2 linked regions of the Tamandua tetradactyla genome follow. The protein of the gene in region 2 binds, or shares a complex with, the protein of the main gene of each other region. Links are inferred from orthologs where the notes say so. Each region holds a gene or a part of one and is shown on either strand. Other genes may lie near its edges.

What was found.
Region 1: the proteins of MMP2 (region 2) and TIMP2 are in contact, whole or in part, in a crystal structure (PDB 1GXD), measured with the Homo sapiens proteins. The link is inferred for Tamandua tetradactyla from reciprocal best matches to the Homo sapiens genes MMP2 and TIMP2. Residues at the interface, in NP_004521.1 of Homo sapiens: Trp574, Lys576, Asn577, Lys579, Tyr581, Phe588, Arg590, Lys595, Asp599, Phe602, Lys604, Ile606, Ala607, Asp608, Ala609, Trp610, Asn611, Ala612, Asp615, Tyr636, Leu638, Leu645, Lys646, Ser647, Val648, Lys649, Phe650, Gly651, Ser652; in NP_003246.1 of Homo sapiens: Ile162, Pro163, Cys164, Tyr165, Ile166, Pro169, Leu173, Met175, Val178, Thr179, Phe191, Arg196, Asp198, Ser200, Cys201, Ala202, Trp203, Tyr204, Arg205, Ala208, Lys211, Gln212, Glu213, Phe214, Leu215, Asp216, Glu218.

What each region holds. Positions count from the first base shown.
Region 1 is NC_135332.1:71,286,976-71,297,003, forward strand, and holds the start of TIMP2 (metalloproteinase inhibitor 2), read right to left. Parts: upstream 4,113-10,028; 5' UTR 3,911-4,112; intron 3,757-3,910; 5' UTR 3,645-3,756; coding exon 3,515-3,644; intron 1-3,514. UniProt on the Homo sapiens protein: Complexes with metalloproteinases (such as collagenases) and irreversibly inactivates them by binding to their catalytic zinc cofactor. Known to act on MMP-1, MMP-2, MMP-3, MMP-7, MMP-8, MMP-9, MMP-10, MMP-13, MMP-14, MMP-15, MMP-16 and MMP-19.
Region 2 is NC_135342.1:49,190,364-49,199,705, forward strand, and holds the start of MMP2 (72 kDa type IV collagenase), read left to right. Parts: upstream 1-4,748; 5' UTR 4,749-4,785; coding exon 4,786-4,941; intron 4,942-7,892; coding exon 7,893-8,119; intron 8,120-8,977; coding exon 8,978-9,126; intron 9,127-9,342.

The DNA of each region.
Region 1 (10,028 bases), on a different chromosome or scaffold from region 2:
TTCAAAGCCAAGCCAAAGAGCTTCAGGCACCCCCATGGCCCCTTTCCCCCATTCTGCCACTGGAACCCTCTATCTCCAGACCCTGCAAATGCGCTTGACCTTGTCATACTGCTACTTCTGAATTTGGGTTACCTAGAAAGTCTACTCACAGTCAGCTAGTTGCCTAAATCAGTCAAGTCGGCCCTACTTGATCCAGGCCCTGGCAGTCAGGGAAGGTCTGCAGGGCTTCCCCTCGCTCTGGTCCACCCTGCCTGGTTTTGCATGCTTAGTTTCTCCCTCCTGAGGGCAGTCCCACTTCTCACATAACCCCCTGCAGCAGAGCTAGCCCCTCCACAACTGCCTGCAGAAACACAGACAGACCCAAAAGGAAAACTGTGCTGTGCGGAATGATCAACCATGCCCTTTGTGGTGGCGCGGCCAACAGTGTCTCTAACGAGGACTCCTGTCCCGCTCTCCCCATCCCCCCTGCCAGGTACTGAGGACCTGATTCAGCACGTAGGGGCCCAATCTTGAGCACTCATGTCTGGGGAGGAGGGAACTGCTTTTGAGGATGTCCCTGCTGGTCTGGTCCCCAGAGGGGCATGCACAGGGCCCACTGCGTCCCACTGAAAATCAGGCCACCTTTGGCCCAGCCCCCCTGGAAGCTAGCACGTGGTTCTTTTGGTGCCCTGGCTGTGGGCCCCTTTACCTTGTGCTGGAGACCGCCTGTGAGTTTGGAGAAAGCAGTTCCTGGAAGAGGGAACATGCTGAGAAAGATGGCATCACAGGAGCTCTTCTGGGATAATGTGGCTCTGGGTACCACCACCGAAGGCCAAAGGGGAGATTCATTCTCTAGGTCCAGTGAGCTCCCAGGTTTACCCTGGGCTCTGGGAGCTGGCCAGGCAGCCCAAGCGTGCCAGGTAGCTCAGCTGGCTAAGTGCCTCCAGGCTCCACGTGCTGTGGTACCGTAAGCCCATCGCTGGTTTCGAGCCAGCTTTCTGGAGCTAAGCAGGCTTGCAGGAGATGGCGAAGGACTCCATTAGATGAAAGGAGTCAGGCTGCACCCTCATTGAGATGGGTGGTGCTTCCTGTGGGGCCTGACTGTGCTGGAGGAGAAAAGAAATCTTACCACTCCACACACCCTAAATGTTACAACCTCACAATGCATCTCTTTGTTGATCACGGTTCCAATCCCACTGCTTGCAGGATATAGGAAGAGCCCTCCCAGAAATCTGTTCATGGACAGACTTGTTTAATTAAGGAGATGTGATTGTTTCTGAAGCCAATTGTCTCTTGTAGACACCAGGACATTTTAATAAGTCTGCACCCAACCCACAATTAGAGGAGCAGGCATGCCACGTGAAAGAGTCAGGCTCCCACTCGCATGCCTTGGGCCAGCAACCTTCCTGTTGGGACCCCTGGGAAACAGCTCTGGCTGTACTGAGCCACCCAAGGAGCTCCGAAAACCACCAAAGCCTGTCCCCTCGCAATTCTGCTCCCAGACTGAGTGGGGAAGCTCTGCTGAGAAGATCTCAAGCCTGTACCTCTAAAGGGAGGAGAGAAAATTCAGAAGGTCCTGGCTTTCACTGTCACCTTTATTCCAGGGCTTCCAGGGGCCCAGCTTGCATGGGCCTCAGCTGGGAGGCCCTTGGTTCTGTACCCCCAGCCGGCCAGACTGAGAAGGGATGATGGTGGAGTAAGAGGGCAGCCTGCCTCTGAAGTGCAACTCTGGGCCTGAAGGGGACTCTGGGCTGGGGTGGGGGAAAGCACTGGCTAGAGGATGATTTTGATGCAATGATTTAGACACAAGTGTTGGGAAATCTAGGCAGAGCCCAGGAATGCAGAAAGTGAGAAGGAGCCTCAGGGCAGACTGAAGCTCCAGAATCCAAACCCAAAGCAGAAACATACTCTCCAACTGGGCAAGCAGCACGGAAGAGGCAGGGGAATAGGTTAGAGAGGCTGGCTGGAAATTCTCCCCGTGGCAGCTGAGGGGGCTGGGTGGTCCAGGGTCTAGCTCCTCCAGCTCAGCTTCTGCAGATCAAACCTGAGTCTCATGGCCCTGAATTTCTCTCCAGGGTCTTGAACTGGTTCTGCCCCGTGCCATGACTGCCCCATGACTGCAAAAGTGCAGCTTTCTCTCTCTCTCTTTGCAAAAAGGGACTGCAAGAGTCTGTCGCCCGTGGACACCCCATGGGAAGGCCAACCCGGGCGTCCCCGTCAGGAGGAGCCTCTGATTCTCCCCCAGATCTTTCTGTGCACCAAAGCCAAATCGGAAAACATACCTCACTTCAGCCAAATCAGGTTTTGTGGAAATGACTTCGCCACGCCCCAAGGCGGCCCAGCCACACACCAGTTCCCACATGTCAGGGCCACTGGAGACCGTCCAGCCTCACCGGCAGAGGCCCGAAGGCCGACTGGGATAAGGCAAGGAGTCTGGGTGCGGGGAGGGTATGACAACAGGGGAAAGAGAGAGGTTCCGGCTTTGCATCTGGGGAACACCCTGCCTCCCACATCTGGTGTGGTGGGGGGCTGCTTGGCCGGCTAAGTGAAAAATAAACCCAAAGGCAGAGGGGGCTGCAGAAGCTGACCTGTGGTCATCCCTCATTTTGGTGGAAATAAACTCGTCTGGGGAAAATCCCGACTTCCTGGTGGCTCATGATTGCCAGGCCTGCAGGGCTCCCCACTTCTGCCCCTCCATGGATCTCAACAAATAACTGTCTCCTCCCACCTTTTGGGGGCAAGGAGTCCTGGGGGGAATATATGTTTGCTGGGGAATTAAAGCAGTCACACGAGCCCCGCCCTGTCCCCTCCAGTCACAAGTCTCCAGTTTTTGCAGATGTCCAGGAAAGGAAAAAAAAAGCCATCACTGGGAGCATACTATGGAAGGGCCCTCCTCCCTCCCTGTTCAGTCCTGTTTGCAGGGTCTCCCGGGCAGGGAAGGCAGTCAGCCAGCAACCGGGCCCCTGGGGCTTTAACCTGCTTTTCCCATAGCCAGGGACAGGGAGGCCTCCCCCCTCAATCAGGCAACCCCCCAAATGGGGCTGTTGGGAGAAGCCCTTCCTCACCCAGCCACAAGCCCAGGGGAGCTCAACTCCTGTGTCCCCTGCGAAAGTTTCTACCGAGGGTCTTCACTCTTCTAGACTACAGAGACGGAACTGCTCCTGCCCACACCCACCCACCCACTGTGTCCCCCACTCTGCCCACCCAGGGTGCGACGCCTGCCAAATCCCAATCCGCAATGGGCTCCCTGGCTCCCTTCTCGGGGGCTGGGCTGCAGTGAAATTTCGGTGGAATTTTGAGGTTCAGAAGCATCTCGGCAGAGAGGGGAAAAGAAGGGAGGGAAGGAAGGGGAAAGAGAAAGTACGATTTGGCGTCAACTTGCAGGATTCTCCAAGGAGGCCGAGCGACCCAGAGGCCGGCGCTGGGTCCCTGCGAGAAGCGGGCGGCTCGCGGCAGCAGCGGGGTGGTCGCGGTGCCCGCGGGGTTGGGGGGGAGGTGGGGATGCAGGCGGGGGGCAGGGGGCGCCGCTCCTTACCTACATCTGCATTGCAAAACGCCTGTTGCGGGTGCACCGGGGAGCAGCTGCAGGCGTCGGCCTGGCGAAGCAGCGTCCCCAGCAGCAGGAGGCCGAGCGCCAGCCGCAGGCTGCGGGCCGCGGTGCCCATGGCGGGCCGGGGGCGCGGCGCGGGCCGGGCAGGGCGCTGCTCTCCGCTCCTCGGGCTCCTGGCTCGACCGCCGCCGCTTCCTCTCCGGGCCGCGCGGCTCCTCTCCGGCGGGCTGGTGGGGGGCACAGGAGGGGCGGGGGTGGGGGGGGTTGGGGGGACGCTCAGGCTGCGCGCTCCGCTTCGGGGCGCGGCCCGGGGCTGGGGGGTCGAGGCGGGGTACCCCCTCCCGCGCCCCGGCACATCCCTCCGCACCTGGCCGTACTCACCCGCCGAAACTTTCTCTCCTCTTTGTCTCGGGGGCGGCGCGGGCCTGGCGGGGAGCAGGGTCGGGGGACACTGGGGTGGGCTGGGGGGCAGCCGTTTACCGGGCGGAGACGACAGCGGAGCGGGGGGCGGCGAGGCGAGAGCGTGCGCCGCAGCCTGGTCCCCGGCGCCGCCGACTGCCTTCTATGGATGTGTTTGCGGCGGGCGCGGGCCGAGCCGGGCGTTTTACTGCGCTCGAAGGATTTGGCGCCCCTCCTCCCGGTGGCGGGCGGCCAGTGCAGGCTCCGGGCGCTCCCAGCAGCCCCCTCCTCCCGCGCCTCCCGCGCCTCCCCGGCCCTCCCCAAAACCCGGGCTTTTGTTGTGCCCAGCCTGGCACGGCGGGCGGGGGAGGGGAGGCGGGCGGGGGTTGCTTTCCGCGCCCCCGGGCCTGAACCACGCTGCTGGCCGCCGGCGCGCACTGCGCCCAGCCCCGGCCTCCTACCCCCCGGGGCAGCCCCCCAAATCGCCTGAGGTCGGGAGGAGGGGTGCACAGGAGCGGGCAGCGCCCATTGGGCTCTGACTCAGCATTGGGGACAGCGCAGCCATGGCTCAAGGGCACCAAGCGGTGGTCGGTCACCCCTCGCCTCTTAGCTGGGCGCTGGAGGAGGGCACTGTGGGATTCCCTCCTAACCCCTGGGGTCCCTTTCCTTCCAGCAAAAGGGATGTGCCCTTCGGAGCAGAGGTCATTCCCTGCCACCCCTTCCCCTGTGTCCGTTTGGGCAGATGACCTGTGTGAAACTGACCCTGGGCTCCTTTTCCAGATGGAGGCCTTAGAATTTTAAGTGCACTTGGCCAGTTTAGTTGGGGGTGGGGGGTGGGGGAGGAGAGGGGAGTGGTTACTGAACAAAACAGGATTTTACATAAACTGGCCATATTTTTGACCAGCCAACAAGGGGAAGGGGGTGGGCCTGTGAGCCCCTAAGCCAGTAGGATTGTAAGAAAGGCACTGTCTGGCCCCCCCCTCAGCTCCCTCCCCTGGCTCACATTTTTTGGAGCAGGAGAAGGATTTTTCCCAGAACAGTTCTGAGTTCCAGGAAAGGCCGAGGGACTCAAAGGCCAGGGCAGCAAGAGGAGTATGGGGAGTGGGTGTCCATAGGGACCCCATCTACCTGTCACTGACCCTGCCTGGACCCCGCACCCCTCCGAGTCTCACAGGGTGTCTCTAATCTAGGTAGGGAGATGCAAAAGGAGGGAGATGACATGATTAAGAAACAATTGTCAGCTGCATTGTGTGGTGCTGACTTGAGATATGAAACTTTGGAGAAAATTGGAACAATTGGAAAAACGTTTTTCTGTTTGTGCGTGCCTCGAACCACACAAGTTGGAGAAAAGTTCATCTTCAGAGCAGTGGTTTCGAGTACCGCAGCAAACCCAAAGCCACTTTTTTCCAGCTTTTGTTAGTGTAAAATGTGGTTGTGTTGTTCAGGAAATGATGTTTGATGTTAACTGTTTAAAGTACAGTTCATTCAGAAAATCATTGCACACTGAATGGCTGTAACCTTTCCATTTCTCTTTCTTTTTTTCCATTATGAGTGGAACAAAAGGCTACCAAGATATCCAGAACCTTGAACCAATATGTTAGTTTTTAGGAAAGAAACACATAATTTAGGGACTCGGTCTTTTAGGTAAGATATCCATGTAAGTAAGTGTACATTAGTGGGATAAATACCTTCCAGGTGAGTTTGATGGCTTCACTGTAGGTATCAAGAGGAAGTAAAGGGTCTGACCTGAACCTCTCATGGGGCAGACACACCTCACCTGCCTTAGAATTCCCTCCCACTGAAGCATTCCCACCAGCACATCAACAGGCTGGAGTTTCTCCCCGCAGCAGGTGAGCAAACCTGTACTCGGGACCACACTTCTGCCACCGCAGTGCCGGTTGCTCTGCTCCCTTAGAGTGAATCTCTTACAAGCAGCCACCTGGACGAGAAGTTTCCAGTTCTCCTCCTCCCTTCTCCTTTGCTCATGCTCCAACCTGGCCCCATCGGTCACTCTGTCAAGGTCACGCAGATCTAACTCCCACAGGCTGAGTCGTGTCTTACTGGACACACTGGGCACACCCTCCTCCCGAGCTCCCCCCCTTGGCTGGCGGGGTGCCATCTCCATCTCTCCTGGCCCTCTGGCCTGCATGCCTGTCATCCGGTGCCCTCTGCAGGCCCCTCTCATCTCCCACCTGTGTCTTGCATGGCCAAACACAAAGCTGCCACAGTTCCCCTTCTCGATAATGGCATCTCCATCCTCCCACGGTGGGGTCCAGCCCACCCCATTCTCCCCATCCCCTCTCCTGGCCCAATTTTTCCATCACCACTTAAAATAGTAAACTTAATTTAGTTATAATCTATCCTTTCCCCCACTGAGTAGAAGCTCCAGGGGAAAGAAATTGTTGTTTTGTTTGTTTCTGTGTCCCCAGGCCTAGTACGTGTTAAGAGTTCATTACATACTTGCTGAATGAATGAGGGAGGAGAGAGAGAAGAAGGGAGGGGATGATTTTCAAAGGATAAGCTGGGACTTTCATGGCAGATGGGATGGGCCTGCAGGGGAGTTGACAATGATTCCCTAAGGCAGGAGCCCAGGAGCGCAGTGAGCAGAGAGGAAGGAACACAGGGGTGGGGGGGGAGGCCAGGGAGGGCTCAGGAGGGAGGGGAACTATCCCCTCTCCCCACACCCCACAAATCAGAGCATCTGATACAGAAAACTAGATTCCCTCCACTCCTTGCTTTGCAGATTCCTCCCTCCCTCTTTTTCTCCCTTCCTCCCTCTCTCCTTACCTTCCTTCCATCAACAAATATTTCTTTGAGCGTCTACTGTGGACTAGCCACCGATCTGAGAGCAGAGGATTCAGAAGTCACCAGAGTGGACAGAAGGCCCTGGGAGCGGCAGGTGGAAAGATCCTGAGGCCCAGAGGCTGGGGCAGGAGGTTGGGGTAGGAGATCAGGGCGGCCAGAGGAGAAGGAGGTAGGAGTCTGGTCAAGAGGCTGGGCAGGGAGCAGGAAGAAGGTTGGAGCAGAGGTGGGAGAGGGTCCAGTTCATGTTCTACCAGGACAAAGTGATGTGGTGGGTAGGGCAAGAGTGGGGGCAGGGAGCAGGATGGCAAGGAGATGGGAGAGAGAGGCAGGTTAACTCAGAGCCACCCGGCAACCGGCCCCCCCTGGCAGCCAGACGACCTTGGCTGACCTTGCCAGCCCTCTACCTTTCCATCCTCAAAAATGGTGATGGAAAGCTTTCTGCATACGATGGCTGCGGTGGGGGAAGTCGGGCTAAGTCCTGTGCAGGCATCTCACCTGAGGGGTAAAGGGACTCCCCCTCGGACATAGCAGGGGAGGGCCAAAGGCTGATCCCTGGAACCCAGGTCTGCCCCTCCCAGCCCGCAGCCCCCGTCTTGTCCCTGCAGGGTCCTTGGCTCCCACAGCCCACCTGAGTCTGCCGGCCCCTCCTTAAGGCCCCCTCACACTTGCCCTCCACCTTCTCTCCCCATCCCTAAGCCAAGGAAGCAGAGAAGGAATCTACTAAAGGTGCCTGCCACCCTCCCCAAATCGCTCTTTCAGTGGCTCTCTGCCCTATGTCCCATGGCTCATGAAAGCAGGGTGGTTTCTGGGCAGGAGGGAGGGCAGGGTCGGGGATGAGGAAGGAGGCCCCGGGGCTGTAGCTGGCAACCTCTTTCTCACTGTTCAACCAGCCTCCTCTGCCGCTCACCTTGACATTGCTGGGTGGGACAGGTGGGAGCTCTAGGAGAGCCCCTGTCTTGGAATCTGTATGTACTTTGACCCATGGCTCCAAGTGGGGGCTGGGGGAGGAGGGCAGATAGGAGGCAGCGTGGCACCTGCTGGCATGGGGGAGCTAGGTGTGCAGGGAGGGGCTTCCAGGGTCCCTCGGACCTTGCTGCCGATCAGGAAGACTGGCCCTGCCCCCCCAGAGATCTCACAGGCCTGAGTTGGCCAGCACCCTCAGCTTACCCCACCTCTGTCCACACACACCCAGAAACACAGCCTGGGCTTGGCCGAGTAAATACCATCCAGGGGCCAGGAGGAAATGCCAACAGGCTTGACGAGCTCTTCTCCTCCGCTCCTCTCTGGTTCCCATGTCCACCGGCCTTTGGCCCCACTCAGCCGCACTCCACGCCCATCCGGCCGTGAGACAGGCAGCGGAAGCGCCTGTTCTCGGTAGATCCACTCTCCCAGTTTGGATGAGGTCCATTTCCTCTTGAACATATAGCATTCCCTCCCTAGAGACAGCTTGAGCGGAACAGAAGCCCCCACACTCTTTCTGGCAGGTTCTGGAGAGCTGGGCACACTGCTCAGCGTATGGGCATAGCAGTTGGCCCCGTGCATTCAGGAAGAAGGACCTGAAGTCATGGGGCCGCAGTTCCCAAAGGAGGGCAGTGTCATGGACAGGTCTGGGGACAGCAGAGAATGGGTGGCTATAGGGGGAGGGAACCTGTCCGTGGGTCTGGCTGGCTGGGAAGAGGACCGCGGTACTGTGATGTGTGGCCCCCTCGATTGATGGGGTGCACCAGGGTTACGATGGACCTTCCCATCCACTCTGAGTGCCAGACACTTGGCCCAGCCCAGGTACCTGTACACAGCGTCCCCAGAACACCACGAGGATGGCAGGAGAGTGAGTCAGAAGTGACGGCATGCGGGCGGGGACCTGTCAGTCTGCTCGGCATTGTGGCATTCGGCACTGGGTGTTGATTCCCATCTCTCCTTCACTCCAGCCGGCGCGTCTGAGCTCAGCCTCGGCAGGGCTGACATCTGGGCTGCATCTTTCCTCGTGGCAGGGGTTCTCCTCGCCACCGTGAACTTTCAGGCAGCACCCCCAGCTTCCGGCCTCTACATTCCAGTAGCAAATCCCACCCCATGTGGCGGCAACCCAAACCACCTCTTGACCTTGTCAAACATCCCTGCTAGAAATCGCCCTGCTAGAGACCCACTAACTTAGGGAGACTGATCATGGTCTTTGAACCCGAGAAAAGCATGATACAGAAAGCATGATACAGAGACAGATAAGGAACGAGGCTGCGTTTTTGTCAAGGAGACAGTAAGGCAAAGGGGGCGTGGCTGTGTGGACACTTGAGCATGGTTAAGCTTCAGTTGGACATTACTACCTATCGTAGCTTGTCAAACCCCAACCAAAACCATTCCAGCCAATCCTAAAGAACACCTAGGGCATATATAAGACTCTACAAAGGTTCCATGCTCTAGGGTAACTTTCCAGAAACCTTCAACCTCCAGATGGGACCCTGGACCAGATAAGTCCTGAAACCTAAAGGGCCCAGCCTCTCCAGAACATCAGATAGTTCCATCCCCCATCCCATATTATTATCAGCCCCTTCCACATGAAAAAGTTAGACTGGGCATAGCCCATATACCCCCAAAGACTGGGAGAAAGATCAAAGGAGAAGGAGGAGTTATAACAGAGAAGATAGGATTTAACAAATGAGTATGAGTGCTCAATCATTGAATTGATATTTCTTTTAGTCTGCAGTATCTTAGAGCAGCTAGAAGTAAAAACCTAAAACTGTGGAATTATAACCCATACCAAACTCTGAAATCTGTTCTACAACTAATTGTCGTGATGTGGTTTGAAATTTAGTGCTTTTTTGTGTATATGTTATTTTTCACAAAAAAAGGGGAAAAAGTCGATTGAGATGATACAAATAAAGATGAGCAGGAGGAAATAAAAAAAAGAAGAAATATACAAATTAATAATAAAAAATATATATGAAGGGCGCCCCTGGGTGGCAGAAGCCTAGGGGACAGAATGCAGGTCTTACACCCTGTCCCTTGTGCAGGGAACGCAGTTTTCAGACGTGGGTTCAGCCCTAAAGTGAACACCTCTTTGGGCAGAAATACGGATTTTCCTCTATTTTCTATGTGGCGCTATCCGTCTTTCCTGGCTGCAGCTTTTCGTTTCCCTTTGCGTGCTTCCACCCATCCTCTCTGCTTGTTCCTTTGGGCCCTTTGGCTGTGTCCCTGGCGGCTCTTCTGTCGTGCCGCCCGGCACCTTTAAGAAGGCGAGGAGGACTGGAGACTGGGCCCCCCACCTTCTGCCAGCTGGCCCTTCCCCTCTGCGGCACATTGC
Region 2 (9,342 bases):
CATCCACACCCCTGGATGAATGGGGTCTGCTAAGGGATTATGGAGATGCTTGTATATCCCTGGCTGGACTAATAGCCCGCCTTTAACAGGCCATGAGACTGTTAGGATCTGCGGGGGGAACCCCAAGGTGGATTGTAGTGATTTCTTCTGTAGATAAGTTCCCTAATAAGGGGAAGGGAGATTTCATGGGGGTAATTCTGGGGCCTGGGGCCACCCACTTGCTTAACTATGTTGTGGTCATCATCGTGTGTGATACAACCATTCCAAGAAGACAAAGAAATTCACAGGTTGAAAGAAGAGATGCAGTTAGAAAGAGATATACAGACTTCCACCTCTGCTTTAGTAACAAGCCTTTCAGAGCAATTAGAGTTTTAAAAAATGATGATATGGAAGTGCTGGCCTGTCTTTATAAAATTTGCAGGCCAAGAAAAGGATCCAGCCAAGGTTAAAACTGTGTTAACTAAAAAGGATTAGAATCAGAAAATCTGGAATCTCTGGGAAGACATTAAGAAATAACCAATACAACTGGAAAAATTAACAAAAGTGCAAATTGTAAAAATTAAGAAAACTTTGATAGGTCTGTGAAATTTAAGTTTTTAGCATCAAATAATATATTGATTTAAACTGCAATTTAGTTTTCTCTCTATTAAAATAATAAAGTTTCTTTGGATTATTAGTCAGCTTTTTGGAAAGAAGTTATTAAAGTTTTTTTCCCCTGAGTAATCAATATAAAATGCAGAAAGTCTGCGTTCTATCAGAATAACTTCTTATACTTTATATTGACTTCATTACATCTTAGTTGTTTAAAAAAAAATCAAATCTCACTTTTAAAGAAGCTGAATCTTTCTCTTGGCTTTGGTTAATAATAAGAGAAAACCAAATATTGTTTCAAACCTGACTACTTTCAACATCTTGCCTTCTCAGGGTCAAGCCCCAAAGGATATCTTTTTATTCCAAACAGTTGCAACGGACTTGTTTTTTCACCTTAAAATAAAATGAAGCAGTAAAACTAGTTAAGTTCATTTGATATAAGTTGCATAGGAAATGTTTAAATAATGTTATAAGAATTTAAAGAAGTTTTCTAACTTGTTGGTTACTGTTCTCATTTGCTAGCTGCCAGAATGCAATATACCAGAAACAGAACAGTTTTTGAAAAGAAAATTTGTAAGTTGCTAGTTTACAGTTCTAAGGCCATGGAAATGTCCCAATTAAAAGAAGTCTATAAAAATGTCCAAATTAAGGTACAACAAGAGGTTACCTTCAATCAAGAAAGGCCGATGAAGTTCAAGGTTTCTCTCTCAACTAGAAAGGCACATGGAGAACATGGCGACATCTACTAGCTTTCTCTCTAGGCTCTTTGCTTATTGAAGCTCCACCAGGGGTGTTTTCCTTCTTCATCTCCAAAGGTCTCTGGCTTCATGGACTCTCTCGTCTCTCGTGGATCTGCCATTTCCTCCAAAATGTTTCCTCTTTTTTAGGAATTCAGTAAAGTAATCAAGACCCACCTGAAATGGGTGGAGTCACATCTCCCGCTAATCAAAAGTTAATACCCACAACAGAGTGAGTCACATGCCTGTGGAGATAATCTAAACAAGTTTTCAACCTAAAGTGCTGAATAGGGATTAAAAGAAAGGGTCACTCCCACCAGATTGGATAAGGATTAGAATGTGGCTTCTCTAGGGCACATAAATACTTTAAAACCAGCACAGTTACTGATCTGCAAAATGGAATACAATATGGTCCTGCTAGTTGTGGTTTTCATTATTTTAAAACATGTAAAAAAGAAATTGGACCTCTGCTTTTAACCAAAGTGTTTACATGTTTAAACCAGGCTCTGAATGCTGTGCATAGCATCTCCCCATTTGAGTTACTGGCACAGCTGGTTTCTATGGCCCCACAAACTATAAAGGTATCAGACACACCTTCTGGTCATGCCCCAGAAGGGGATGGAAACACTTTTTTACTACTGACACCTGCAACCCTGTCTGCTGGAAAAGGCTCAGTGGACACTGCCTCCAGACTGACTGACTGCTCCATAGTACCCAAGGGTGCGATGGAACAGGTTGGTGGAGCCCTGGAGCCCATCTTCCTGTTCGCCAAAGAACCACCAATGCTACAATATGAACAGTGCATCAGAGGTGTATCTACCAGGGAAATAATGGCCAGAGTGATGTGATAAGAACCTAAAAGGATACAACTGGCCCTAAGCCCTGCTTGCATGGAGGAACAGCATGTGTGATATAGTAAGCCTGGCACTTGCAATGTGAGAGCTAATATCCTAAGCCCTAGGGGAGAATGTTTTACAGTAATTTTACTCACAAAAGAGGACTTTCCTATTAGGGTACCTACTAAACGTTTATGTTTGGGCCCCTAAGCTTCTTTCCTGCTTCATCTCAGTTATTTGTCTTGCTTGATTAAGCTGTGGCCATAACAGCATTCCTCAACCAGACTGACTATTAGAGAACATCTGAACAAGACTTGCCCATCCGTGACGTCTGCTTGGGGTGGCCTGAATTAAATGGTTGCTGATTATGGCTTCTTAAGTGCTAGAATTAAAAGACATATCGGTTCTATAATGCTTCTAATTTAGCTGCACGCTAACAGTATTGATTATTTGTCTATCTTGTTACAGTTTATATTGCAGTTGTGGCCTCATTTCTCAATATCACAAGCTGTAAAGCCTCCTGTTCCCACACTCAAGGACGTATATAGAAGAGGTAGCGGAAAGATTGTTAGAGCTGTGGGACAGGGTGAGTTGGAACGTAACGTTTTTGCATTTTTCAGTATCCCCCAACTCTGCCAACTTTGTCAGCAATTATGCACATTCCTGAATCTACTCTCTCAACTCTGTGCCTTCATTATCTTTCCACAAGGTTAACTCCATAAGAACTTGTACCCAGAGAGGTAAACATTAAGAAACAGTTGACTTTGTTAGCAACGTGGACATGTCCCCTCTCCTGGCTCTGTGCCTTCTTTGTCTATGCCCACTATAAAACCCTGCTCCCCACCGCCCACTCATTAATGAGGAACACTGTCACACTGAGCTCTGCATCAGCCACCATCAGAGCAACTTGACTCCTAGATGAATTTCTTTTCTTCATTCCTGTTAGTAAGTCCCTATAATAAAAGCCCACGCCTCAGTTTGCGCCTGGTGTTTTCTTTGGTCTCTTGGCTGGAAAAGCCCCTTCGGGCCGGGACACTCTCCAATAGGGCATGGACATGGGCCAAATGGGGCTGGGCGAGGAGGCAGTCCCGACCCCACTCCAGCCAGACCCCCATTATCTCAGATGCACGCCCCTTGCAAAAGCCAAGGTTTCTCACTGGGTCAGGCTGATGGGCCTGGTCCCTCCTGAGGGGTGAGGTCCCTTCCAAGAGGCTCCTTTAAGTCTGATTTCTGGCAGCCCAGTAGCACATGCCTGCCAGACAAGCCCAAACATAACTGAAGCCCACTGAGACCTGAGCTGCAGAGGCTTTTCGGGCCCTTAAGATAAAGCCAGACACATCTCTGTGACCATCAAGATTCTCTGCAAGCACATGGCTGCTGACCCTTTCGGCTCCATGTCTTTGCTCCTGGAGCTCATCCCTGCTGAGCCCTGTGCCACACTAGACCCTTTTCTGATCCAGGGGCTTCCTTCTCCAGTGCATCTTTCTGTCTTTCATCTCTGGGCTTTTTGCATCTCTTTACCGTGGCCAAAATATCCCTCTTCCAACAATCCCTCTTTCAGCTCTTCAGTTCTCAGCTCAGGAAAACTTCTTCCAGGAAGACTTCCGTGACTGTTTAGGAGCTCAGGCCGAGTGCCACCACAATCCGCAGTCTTTCCCGAGGGGAGGGGGCACTCCTCTGGACAGGGACCGTGACTGCTGTGCTCCCCAGGGTATATCTGGCATCTTGCACTATGTCTGGGCAAAATAAATGCTTATATATTTGCAGAAGAAGGAAGGAAAGTAGGGAGAAAGGAAGAAGGGAGAACACTGATGATCTATCTTTGCTTCTGACCCTTTGTTTCTGACCGTCCCTCCCCATCCAGGACCCATCATCACCGTGGAGTGCAGGGTGTCCTGGCCCACGGGGTCCCCCCATGAACCACTGTTCTCCACCCTGAGGACGTGAAAAGTCTAAAGTCGTGCTAGATGTTTCCTCGTAGCGGCCTCCAGACAATAGGTATATATATATATATATATATTTTTTTTTTTTCTTAATTTGAGGGGGAAGGTATTGTTCGGGGGTGGGAGGAACCCGTGCAGCTAGTGCACGCACTGATGGTGGATTCAGAGGCCGTGGGTAGCTGGTGGAGGTGGAGAAAAGGAGGGGGAGGGGGAGAGGGAGGGGGAGGGTGGGGAGGGAGAAGGGGAGGAATTGGAGGGGGAAGGGGGAGAAGGGGGAGGAGGAGGAGGGCTGGAGGAGGGGTCAGAGAGGGGCGGGCCTGAAAGCGGCCCCCCGCCCCCATAAAGAGCTGCCAGCACCCTCCCAGTCCAGCCGGCCACATCTGGCGGCCGCCCTCCCTTGTTTCCGCCGCATCCAGACTTCCTCCGGAGGTGGCTGGAGGCTGTGCATCTGGAGCTTTAAACATACAAAGGGATTGCCAGGGCCGGCGAGAACAGGCGGTGGCGCGGGCTGCGGCGCAGGGGCCGGACCATGCGCCACTGAGTCGGGCGGAGCCGACCGAGCCGAGCCGGCCCTCGGAGCACAGCGCCGCGCCGCGGAGCAGGCGCCAGCCAGGCGGCGCCGCGGTCACCCGCACCGAGCCAGCGAGTCCCGGGCGACGTGCGGGGCCCGGGAGCGCAATGATGGAGGCGCGAGTGGCCTGGGGCGCCCTCGCCCGTCCCCTGCGGGCGCTCTGCGTCCTGGGCTGCCTGTTGGGTCCCGCCGCCGCAGCGCCGACGCCGGTCATCAAGTTCCCCGGCGACGTCGCCCCCAAAACGGACAAAGAGTTGGCGGTGGTGAGTTGTCGAATTGGCCTCAACAAGCCAAGTTGAAACAAACTTCTGAGGCGGAGAATGGGAGGGGGCGCATGGGCACACGTTGCGGGGAGGGGACTTCAGAAAACAGACTGCTGTATCTTTGGCACAGTGATGGAGAGATCCCTTTTGCAAATGGTGGAGGGGGGGTATTTTGGAAACTGGAGGCCTTTGGTTAAACAACTTGGCAACATTCAGGACACAGCTGGGAGCTGAGAAACAAAGCCGGGCGTGTGTTGGGGGGCGCGGGGGTGCGGATTGCTTTGGCAAACGGTTGGAAAGGGCCCCTTTTGCAAATAACCGGGACATTGTCAAACATCTGTGAGCTTTGGCAAGGGGAGCGGGCTTTGTAAACAACTTTTGGCCACATCTGGGGAGGTGGCTAACGGGGCCTTTGGCAAGCACGTTGGTAGGCCTTTGGCAGACAGCTAAGGGGGTCTCTTTTGCACTTGGGGGAGGAGCTTTTGTGCCTCTGAAGGACTTTGGCAAAGAGGTTCTTTGGCACACAATCTGGGAAAACTTTGGTACGCATAAAGATGGGAGCTCTGGGCAAAGCGAGACCTGGCAGGCGTCTGGGAACCTCTGGCGCACATCTGGAGAGGGGCTTTGGACAACAGCTCCCTGGGACGGTTTGGCAAATAATTGCGTCAGGAGGGAAGCGAGGAGAGCATCTTTTTCTTCTGGCTTGATGGGTAAATTGGCCCGGAGGGTCAAGGTTTGCACCTCTGAGTCTCGGAAAATTTCCTCGAACTTCTCCAAAGTGTTGGCGGACAGAAGAAAAAACTGGCCCGAAGGATGGGTGAAGGGAGGAGCAAAAGGGCGCGGGAGGTCCCCTGGCCCGTGGGGCGGGGGCAGACCGAGCCTGCTCGGGTCGGAGAGCGGCCAACCAGCCCTCCTTCCTGGCCCGCCTCCGAGCGGCGGCTCAGATGCTATTTTCTTTGAGCGCGTGCGCTTGGCTCGAGGGGCAGCGTGGCCACAGCGTTGCATAATCCGGGCTGGAGTGGGGGTGGAGTGGGGGTAGCGCACTCCCCTTTGTCCCTGTAAGCTCCTCCACCCTGTCCTGGAGCCTCTCCGGGTGGAAGGGCTCCTCCCATTTCGCAGTAGTCTTGACCCCTTTTTGCTTCTGCCACCCTGGAGAGCCGCTCTTCTCCATCCATCCAACCTGGTCCCCAGCCTGCTCAGGACAGGGCTCCCATGCCCTCTGGTCACCCTGGGAACTCTTTCTCGGGATGTGACATCTCCAGTATCTGGGTCTCTGCCACTTGTTCATTAGATGGGTTGGGAGACATCCGTACATTCGTAGGGAGCTGCCTTTTTTCAAAGGCTTAGTGCTGGACCTCTTAATGTGGCTGTTGGTGGGGGCTAAGGGTGGAACTTTGGAGCAGTGACAAAGCCACCTGGGTCTCCACACCTTCTCCAGCCTATGCATGTCTGTGTTACCAAGAGGCAATTCAGAGGAGTGCTTTGGAAGGTAGGCTTTAGATCCAAGTGTGAGCCAGCTGACTCACACAGTGAGTGTCAACTTTGCTGAGTCTCAAGTTTCTTCATCTGCGAACTGAGGATAATCAGCCTACCTGTCCTGGCACTAGAGAGGTTGTCTTAGGCACTGAGAAGTACCTGGTACATGATAAGTACTCAATAAGCATTAGCTGTTGTTATATTAATAGTAGTAGTCGTATAATTATTATTATGCCCTTCATTTCCCCTCATCTTATTAGCAGAAATGCCATTCTTTAGATGTTGCTTCTCAGGTCTGCAGGGTAGCTTTTCCTATTACCCTTAGCCCCTAAACAGTGGGATGGAGAAGCCATCATGAGGTCTCCAGGCCCTTTTCATCATTGCCATATACTTATCATATGTTTAACTTTGCATATATTTGTGTTCCATGTCACCTTCCCTATGCTGGGATTTCAACCCCAGAGACCAGAAGCATTACCTGTCTTCTTCACCAGTTTATTCCCAGCACTAGCCTGGAACATGGATTGACCTTGAAAACATTGTACTGAGTGGAAAAAGCAAAGGCACTTAAAGGGCAAATACCGTATGATTCCACAGATATGGAATACCTAGAAATAGCAAATTCATAGCTATCCAAAGTAGAATAGAGTTTACCAGGGAAGGGAAAGGGGCAAGTATTTCTTGGTGGGTATAGAACACTGGTAAATTTTAGAAATTTTGAAGTAAAATTAATTTTAAAGTGAAGTATTTGCTGGATAAATGAGTTGGCTGATCCCTGAACCTCTGCAGGAGCCTGTTTGGTTTGAGTCTTGGGTTGGGCGGAGCCAGCTGCACAGACCATTTTGTTTTTTTTTGGAAACAGCAGACCCAGAATTTGAACCCAGGTTGTCTGCTGCTAGAGCCGACGCACATCGCCCCTGAGTGTCCTTATAAGAAAGGGGGAGAAAATAATCCCTATGTCGCTGGCTTGACATTGGGGATTGAACGAGACAATGGACGTAAAGCAGGGCGGTGGCATGTCACAATTCCAAACATCTGGTCCTGGAGCCGGGTTGCTTGGGCCCAAATCCAGCTCTGCCATTTGTGAACTGTGTGATCTTAGACAAGTTTCTTAACCTCTCTGTGTATTGGTTTTTTTCTTCCATATGATGGGGATAGTAATCATATTTACATTATGGAGTTGTTGTGAGTGAGCATTAAATGATTTAAGACAGATTGACTTCAATGCCTGGGCATATCGTAATCCCCTAACACAGGGTAACCATGCTCCCTATGGTTGACGGGCCACTCAGCTGGAGGGTGACAGCTGGTTTTGAAACACAGGCTTCCTAACTTCCAGCCAGTGCTCCTGAGTCTCCAGACTACCTCCTGTCTGCGCTGCAGGGCTGGGCTGGGGCTGCTTCCTGTAGCCTACCATGGCCGATGCTGTGCCGTCCTAACATGGCTGCCCTCCTCGGGACACTCATGTCTTCTAGCAATACCTGAACACCTACTATGGCTGCCCCAAGGAGAACTGCAACCTGTTTGTGCTGAAGGACACACTGAAGAAGATGCAGAAATTCTTCGGGCTGCCCCAGACGGGCAAACTTGACCAGAACACCATCGAGACCATGCGGAAGCCACGCTGCGGCAACCCTGATGTGGCCAACTACAACTTCTTCCCCCGCAAGCCCAAGTGGGACAAGAACCAGATCTCATACAGGTGCTGAGGCCAGGCTTGGGGAGGCAGGGCCATCAACCTGGGGCTGGCAGACTGGGGACCCTGAGTTTCCTAGGCCTTGCCTTTTCCACTCTGGTATCTTTTGTAAGGCATGGCATCTTAATGGTTCCCATGCAGTGTTCTTAGGAGCTCTGGTCAGACAGTCTCACATGTAATAGCTGTGGCGCATTGGGGGACTTACTTTCCAATGCTTGGAGCTTTGGCTTTTCCATCTACAACGTGGGGCTAATGGAAACTTTCCTTATAGGGTTGTTGGAGAACTAAGCTAGGTTGCATATGGAAAGGGCTTTTCTCAGTGTCTGGCATGTAGCAAGAATATTGTAAATCTTAGTCATTATTGTTATTATTAGATGGAGTCACTGGCATGGGAGTGTGGTGGAAGGAATCCAGTGACTGGTTGCTAATTTGGCTAGGGAGACCCTCCCAGGCTGAGAGGTTGGCCCTGTATAGCTGATGCTGGATTCCAAGGGTGAGATCTCTCCCCTGTGTCCCTGTGTCCCACCAGACAGGCTGCCCCTGCCAGCCTGGAGTGAGAAATGAGACTCCTGGGATGGGCTTGAGAATGTTGGCTGGTCTGGGACGCCACAGGCCTCAAGATTTTCCGGGAGGGTTGCTCCCACAATGAGCTCTGCTTGACACACGCGTACCAGTACCTGCATATGCATACACGTATGCATGCACTTGCACACAAGTATACGTATTCATATGCACACAATCATGCACCTCAGTGCATACTTGTTTGCATGCATGAATACACACTCACATGCTTATGTACACACACTCATTCTTATATATTCACATATACACATACACGCTCATAAGCATTTCTCCCACCCCCAGGATCATTGGCTACACGCCCGATTTGGACCCCGAGACAGTGGATGATGCCTTCGCTCGAGCCTTCCAAGTTTGGAGCGACGTGACGCCATTGCGGTTTTCCCGCATCCACGACGGAGAGGCTGACATCATGATCAACTTTGGCCGCTGGGGTAAGCAAGAGAGGCCGGCAGGACACCAGGGGGAAATGTGGACTAGTGGCTACTGAGGGCAGCTTAGCAGGTGGGGGTGGGATAGGTGGAGGTCGTGCACAGACTGGATGGCATAGGAACAGGGGGCAGGGCCTGAAAGCTGTGAAGATGTGAGGGAAGGTGGTATATGCGCTAGACGTAGTGCAAACCTGTAAGTAAGTGGTCTAACTGCACTGC